Linked DNA regions of Oryzias latipes. Each later gene encodes a partner of the first gene's protein in a complex. Links are inferred from orthologs where the notes say so. Each region holds a gene or a part of one and is shown in the gene's direction. Other genes may lie near its edges. The genes, in order: llgl1 and partitioning defective 6 homolog alpha.

What was found.
Region 2: the proteins of llgl1 (region 1) and partitioning defective 6 homolog alpha are in contact, whole or in part, in a cryo-EM structure (PDB 8R3Y), measured with the Homo sapiens proteins. The link is inferred for Oryzias latipes from reciprocal best matches to the Homo sapiens genes LLGL1 and PARD6A. Residues at the interface, in NP_004131.4 of Homo sapiens: Lys657, Leu660, Arg665, Thr704, Pro705, Val706, Gln707, Arg708, Arg709, Ile710, Glu711, Pro712, Arg713, Met785, His786, Glu831, Thr850, Ala851, His852, Glu853, Gly854, Cys855, Arg856, Leu884, Lys906; in NP_058644.1 of Homo sapiens: His163, Leu169, Phe171, Tyr172, Ile173, Arg174, Asp175, Ser195, Arg196, Ile221, Lys226, Thr227, Leu228, Asp229, Gln230, Thr232, Asp233, Met234, Met235, Val236, Ala237, Ser239, His240.

What each region holds. Positions count from the first base shown.
Region 1 is NC_019866.2:18,056,703-18,060,523, forward strand, and holds part of llgl1 (lethal(2) giant larvae protein homolog 1), read left to right. Parts: intron 1-40; coding exon 41-195; intron 196-280; coding exon 281-501; intron 502-2,477; coding exon 2,478-2,545; intron 2,546-2,908; coding exon 2,909-3,101; intron 3,102-3,821. UniProt on the Homo sapiens protein: Cortical cytoskeleton protein found in a complex involved in maintaining cell polarity and epithelial integrity. Involved in the regulation of mitotic spindle orientation, proliferation, differentiation and tissue organization of neuroepithelial cells.
Region 2 is NC_019864.2:4,763,703-4,767,523, forward strand, and holds part of partitioning defective 6 homolog alpha, read left to right. Parts: intron 1-929; coding exon 930-1,152; intron 1,153-3,821. UniProt on the Homo sapiens protein: Adapter protein involved in asymmetrical cell division and cell polarization processes. Probably involved in the formation of epithelial tight junctions.

The sequences.
Region 1 (3,821 bases):
CTGAATACCTCTGCAAATAGGGTCCTCTGCTTCTCTCTAGTTCCCCGGTGATCTTATATAGTGGAGGAATGCCACGAGCCAGCTATGGAGACCGTCACTGTCTAACCATCCAGCAGGACAAAGAGCATGTCACTCTGGACTTCACATCTCGAGTGATCGATTTCTTTACTGTCCACAACATGGACAACGACAAAGGTAAGAATCCAAGCAGATATAAATCCTTTCACTTTTATTCTGTTTTGGATCTTAAATGTCCTGCCTTCTGTCTTCCCGCCCTCAGAGTTTGACGACCCATCGGCTCTCGTTGTGCTTCTGGAGGAGGAGCTGGTTGTGATTGACCTGCTGACCCCCGGTTGGCCCTCGCTGCCCACTCCTTACCTCGCTCCCCTTCACTCGTCAGCTATCACGTGCTCCTGTCACGTCACAAACGTCTCCACCAAGCTGTGGGAGCGGCTGATCAACGCCGGCAAAGCACAACAGAGCCGGCGCCACACACACAGAGTGAGAACAGCCAAAGGAACGTCTATCAGCCAAAGTCAGGATTAGTTTGTAAATCGGTTTAAACAGGTATTCAGTTTCCTCTTTACAATGCAAGAGGCTTAACATTTTTAAACACAGTATGGTTTGTGACCTTTCTGCTTCTATACATTCTTCTTATGTAAGTCAACTAACAAATCATTTATTTTTAGATAGAACTAGAATCCAAAAGAACTGCTTTCAATCCATGAACTGGTTGATCTGAGTTTCTCAGCTTCTTAAAATGAAGCCACATTAACGTGACCTGAGGGTTTGAATTTATAGCGCAGATGTAAGTTGTCTGAATACTACCAAGTCTTTAAGCTTACGTCAACTGTTTGATTAGACACAGATTACACACAAACCGCTGCTACATTCATAAGTTCCATTCAATTTTATTTATATAGCCCAAAATCACAGTTGTTTTGACGGGGTTGACACCAATAATTGTTCAAAAACATAAAATCAGTCATAAAATATGAACATTAGCTAATTGCTAAACTAAACTAACTAAAACGTGTTATTCTTCTCCCAGCGTGGAGTGCGTCTGAAATGTTGACCTACTCTCCAAATTGCATCTCTCTGTGCTCTAGTAATATTCCTTGATGATCCCGACCAATAACAAAAACTTCTTAAAAAACAAAGCCATGTCCCAAGACGTTTCCCAGGAAGCCTTTTCTGAAGCCCTCAGGCCATTAAATTACACTCCAATACGCCTTGCCCTGATTGTCGGTCACAATCAGGGCAAGGCATCCTACTGCTTGAAACGCGAGGCCACCTCAAGTTTTTTACAGAGTCTTGGGGACCTTACGTAGGACCAGAGGACCAAAGAGGACGACTGGAGATGTGGTACCAAGAGTTAGGAAACATAATTAGGGGCCTGCTCATTAAGAGCTCTACGAATCAAAACTAAAATTGTAAAATCAATCCTAAAATGGATAGAATGAAAAGCATTTAAAACTGATGAAATGAGCCCTTTTTACTGGTTCCTGTTAAAAGCTTTCAAGCAGCATTTAGTACCAACAGTTGAATTAATCAAAACAAGCAAAAAGAGAAATAACAGTAATCTAAACAATATTAGATACAAGCATGAATTACAATAATGCAAGTCATCTTTAGTTCCCAATTTACTTAGTTTAGACCTGTTAATTAGGTGATAAAAATGATTTTTGAAAGACATTAATTGGTCAAATATTAGACCACGGTTTTTGATATCTACACAAGGTAGGCTTGCACAAGGAGCCCAGAGTGCCTAAGTGGTGTTTAGTAAAGAGGATGACCTCTGTGACGTAGGTTGATTAGAGATGATGGTAATTTTTTTTTCTTTTTGTTTTTTTCTCTCTGTATATTCAACTCTGTTTGGCTCAAATTAATTTATATGGTACTTTAAAATTACAGCAGTCAAATAAGGCGCCATTCTTAAACGTTTAAAAGTAAAAGGTTAATACAATTGAAAGGGGGAAAAGAATATCGGTAAGTGCCATATTGGTTTTGAGAAGTTTTTCAAAATTGGCGAGTTAGTATGTTAGCCGAATAATAAATCCTGGGGATTCTATGATTCACTTTTCCCATGATTCCGTTAAAATCTCGATTTTTGGGTCACAGTTTTGTTTCCGTTCGATATACGAGTTCTGTAAGACAAAACATTAAAAAAGTCAGTAAAATTATTTTTCACATTGCCTAATAAGCAAGTGACAATGAAGAGAAACGTTTCAATTGTTATGAAACAACATTAAATGTATTAACTTTAGCACAACACGTGTTTGACACTTTCATTATAAACTTGTGCAAACGAATGCAGTAGAGAGGCAACAATTCACTTTTCCTACAATTTGGTTCAATGGCGTAAAAAGTAGGCTTCAAGAATTGCGGCATCCGTAGTAAATATTAGCCGAAAATTGGTTTAGTCGCACGTAAATTTCTCCTGCTGCTTATAAAATCCCTAATTTCTGTTTGTCTAGAAATGGCCAATATGTGGAGGGAAGAACCTGGCACCCCCACCCAGACAACAGGAGCTGCTGCTGACAGGGTTGGTCCGCACACACGCTCACTCATCTTAGCCGCTTAGACCCTACGTTTCTGTTCGAAATCAAATTTTTTTGAAGAAATTTGAAGCTCCAAAAGTAAAAAAGACTTTTTTCACACAAACATATTCGTCATTTGATGTGGTGATGGACTAGATTACAATTAAGTGCAGACGTTTGAGATCATTTTGTCAAATAGTTTAACCTCTGCTATTTTGAAAAAATCTTATTTATTTTTTTAAATTGAAAGTAGCACTGATCTATTAGATGAGAAACCTCAAACATGAGACCTTTACCAAAATCAGATATTGAGGCAGATCTGCTGAGTCATGACTGGACAGTCCGGGGCTAAAATCTGCTTCTTGCAGGCACGAGGACGGCACTGTTCGTTTCTGGGACGCCTCAGGTGTTGCTCTGACTCCACTGTACAAACTCAGCACGGCCAACGTCTTCCACACAGACGGCGACCCGATCGATGATCCCCACGACCCCTGCGATGACCCAGAAATGCAGCAGCAGCAGGAGGAGGAGGAGGAGGAGGAGTGGCCTCCCTTTAGGAAGGTAAACAGTCGAGTTCTCCTTCCGCAGTTCAGGCGTGTTTGACTCCCTGCTGGGATGAATCCTGAAACGCCTCAGACGGTTTTCATGTGTTTGAATCTCAAACAAGCCCACTTTATTGTTCTCATTATTTAAACTTGAAACTGAATAAACTGCCTTGTAATTCTCCTTTCATTTTTTTTTTTTACATGGAGAGTTTTTATTTTAAAGCAAGCCGATAAAGTCAGACCGAGCAAACTGGTTTCAGCAAAGACAAAGAAACGGAACCAAATGAATGATGTCCAGCAGATTTTTATGGCTTGTTTTCATATTTCCTTCATCCTCCTCTTCACACTCGACGCTCCGCCTTACCCTCCTAACTCGCACATATACATGTTGTGTATCCTGTGGTAACAGAGCTGCGTGTTCAGGAATGTGGGATGAAGAGCCTTTCCCTTTTTTCTCAGCTGTAATGAAAACCAGATTTGTCAGCCTTTCTTTTTGTGTAGTGGTCACCAAGCACTTCTTCTTTTCATTTTGCAAAGTCGCGGTGGACTCTGCTGGAATTCCTGCTGTTTCCATGTGAGTGTAGGACAAGAGTGTTTGCTAAGGATTGAGGAAATATGGACATTGTCCTGGTTTTTGGTCAATATAAGAGAAAAGCTGCTGTTCCTACAGCAAGATGACAGTTTTATGTGAAATAAAGTGTAACCAGCAGTTTTACTTTTTTTCATTAGAAAGCTT
Region 2 (3,821 bases), on another chromosome or scaffold:
TGTCTGTCTCATTGCTGTCTGCTGATTTCAGCAGCTGGAAATGGAACAAACATTCAGATTTCTATTAAAAAAACTGCACCCCAGCACCCAGTTCCCCCCCACCCCCATCTGCTGCCCTCTGATTGGTTGACAGGCCTGTCATTCTTCAAAATGAAGCCTTAGATTTGGAGGGAAAACCGACAGTAGTTTGACAGAAATCAAAGATTCAATAAATAGGAAAGACTTGTTTCCTGAAAAATTATTCAGATTCTATTTTGAGGACTTTTCAAATGTTGTAAATAACAAATATTTCTTTATGCCTGCTATAAAAAAGGGTAAAATTCACACTTTGTAACAAATAAGTTCAAAGACGACACAGCTGTCCTGGATATTATTATAATCAAAGCTTAAAAAGACTGATCAGGTTTACTTTTCTATAATCCACTTTAGCACAGCTGCATATTATAAGTTTCTTACCAATTCAAATATTATTCCTGTATTTTCGTAGAATGAAAGTTATTTATTTTTACCATCAATGCTTTGTAATTTGGGGGCTTTTAGGGCAGAAAAAAAAGCAGTTTCTTCTGTGTTCCTGGAACATTTAGGAAGACAGAGCAGATCATGTGTCTTCTAATGCTTTGCAGTAATTCTGCATGTCTGATCCTACGTCCTGGTCAGTCCTATTCATAAAACATCTTAGAGTTGTGAAGAAATGCTCAGTTGAAGCCTCAGTGGGAAAAGAAGCCATAATAGAGCATAGATGGGGATGGTTTGCATTTATTTCTTAGGCTGGTTAGTCAGAGAAATCAGACCGACGCGTGAACGCAGCATCAGTCAGGTTCTATAACTGCACCAAAGCAGTGGATCTACTGTTGGTTGAAGCAGTGACTTCATCTGAACTAATCACTGTCAGTGTTTGACCTTTACCTGATGCTCCTCTTCCTCGGCAGTTTGACGCAGAATATCGCCGGTTTGGTTTGAAGAGGAGTGGACCGGGAAACTTCCAGGAGTTCTACCGCTTCCTCCAGAACATCCACCACATCCGTGGGATGGATGTGCTGCTGGGCTACGCAGACATCCACGGGGACCTCCTGCCCATCAACAACGACGAGAACTTCTACAAAGCTGTGTCCTCTGCCAATCCACTGCTGCGGATTGTCATATCCAAGAAAGGTAAGAACTCTGGGAAGGTGGGAACCCCCATACCCAGAATGCAGCAGCAGAGGAAGAACGAGTCCACACAAACAGGTCAAATCTGCAGGTTCCTGGTGTCACTAACATCAGAGGTTGAAACTTCTAGTGCCACAGAATGACAAAAACTGCTCCCGTAGAAATGTAAGGATTGAAAGCCAGTTTCACCAAAAGAAAACCAGAATCGGTTTTGGTTCTTCTGGTCCATTTCAGAAGCTGCAGAGCTGCTCCCGTCTTTGCAAACAGATTTTTTTTTACCACAGCTGTATTTAGGGATCTACCTGCTGGAGAAGCTCTCATCTTAAGTTAATCACACATGTGTGTCACATAGCAGCCAGGACTGACGCTCAATAAGTTCTTTATTGTGTAAATAAATGGTTAAAACTATATATATATCACTGTATTTTACATACCTGTAGCGCTTTACTATCTTTTTAGAAGGCCCAGAGCGCTGTACAGTCACAGTCCCATTCATACATTGATGACGGCTCCACTGCTAAACTCTGGCACCATCCAATAACCACCAGGAGCAATGGGGGGCTCAGTGCCTTGCCCAAGGACACTTCAACACATGGGTGGGCAGGAAGGGAACCAAACCTGTGATCTTCCTAAAAGGAGTCGATGAAGTTAAAGTGAATTTCTTTTTTTTTTTTAAGTTGGAAGTGAACTTATATCTTGTTTTTAGAATGTCTAGTAAATCCACCCCACAGTTTTAATGGAGCCCATGTCCTGGATTAAGTGCATCACAATAGTAAACTCTGGACGTCTTATAATTAAGTTCTACCCCACAGACATTTAAAAAGGGATCCCGTGTTTTCTGCAGCAGGATCTATTGGGATGGCTGGAAATGTTGTCTTGAATGTTGTTTTTGCTGAGCAGAAGTCCCGGTCTGTCTCCTCCCAGAGCTACACCTACTGTAGCTCTGTTTTCATCAACAAGGCAATTTTAGCTTCATAAACTGTGGACAGTTGCATCTATATCTGTTTCTGTGTTTAGGTCTCAAAGGTTTAGTAAAAAGGTTTTTACCAAATTTTAAACTAGCCAGGAGGAGAAGAAAAGACCCCCGTCACATCACTGAGCTGGGATGTAAAGCGCTAATAAAGTCAGGACTTCTAAAGGGGTAAAGCTAAGGAGCAGATTCACACAGCACTGATTTCTGCTTTCAGCTGCTGAGTCTGTGAGGTTTAAATCCAGCTTCTGCAGGTCTTTGAGAAGGTTTAGGAGAAACCAGTCTGCTGTGGATGACATCATTACACAGCTATTCACATTCAGCCAGAAGGTCTCATAGCTGTCAAGGTAGATGTTTTTAGACTGTTCTAAATAAAGTCTGCGCATTCCAAGAATGTGGTTTATCCACATGGTATGAAGTATGGAATGAAGGTGAGGATGGTGGCCTGCATGCAAACACAGTGAGTTCAATGGTCTCTATAGAAGTGGACAGAGCCGGTGTGACGTCACCTGATGCTTTACCTCCAGCTCTGTCACCATGTTGAAGCCAAATGACAGTAATGGGTCTGAGTCAATGTTTCTATAGCAACTACTGGTGCCAATCACAAGTATGTTTGTTAAAAGCCCCCACCTCATCTGTTTGATCAAGCAGATGAGGTGTGGGCCAGTGTACATCTGTTTGGATGGTGGGAGGAAGCTGGAGTCCCCCCACATGCTAACTCCACACAGAAGGGCCCCCCATTGGTGTTCTGGTTCAGTTGGGACTTGAACCAGGGGCCTCCTTGCTGTGAGGCAAGCGGGCTAACCACTGCACCACCATGCAGCCCTTAAAAACATATAATGGGGAAAAAATATAGGATTATGTAGCAAGAATGTCTATTGTGACCAATAGAATGACAGAGTAACAGCTGTTTCTGCATCTCTCTATAGAGGTCTATAGGATTCTGGCTTATTGCAGCCAGCGGGTACTTCCTGTTTGGAACACGCGGGGGGAGGAGTACCTCAGTCCAGCTCTCTATATACAGTCACCTTGGGGTAAACAAAGGTCAGGTTTTTGCTTCACTGTCGACCTCTTCATTACCTCTGGGGCTCCCAGCCTAAGCGCTGCAGGCCACGCCCCTCGTGGTTACAGCTCTCTGTTGTTCTGGACTCGTGGCTCGGTTGTTTGCGTTGACGAGGAGAAGCCTTGCTTGTTTCAGGGATGCTGCATATAAACAGAACAGGAAGTAGCCACCGTTTATATTAGTTATATAATTCACTCATGGATCGGATAAGCACTTTGTTTTCCCCCTGAGAGGAAAACCTTTGCTGATGAGAGTCACGTTTGCTGTCGGCTTCCAGCTGTTTATTGAGGAGCTGCTGTTCAGTGAAGGACCAGAGACACTCAGGAACATGACACCCATCCACACCAGGAGCACAGACACATTTGTAGACTTCTGCACACAGACATTTGTCTGTGTGTTGGGTTTTTTCCGGGGGGGGGGGCATGGATTTAGAGGTAAACGCTGGATAAAACAGACTTTAAACGTAGTGACCTGAGAGCAGTCTGTGCAAGGAGGACGGAGCTGCCACTCGGCCAGGACAGACAGATTAAAGCTCAATCTGAGCAGGAGGCGGTTGTTGGGATGACAGGCCTCTAAATCCCTTTCTAATCAGGTTTTCTCTGCTCAGGGAAAAGAAAATGTTTGTCCTGATTTACATTT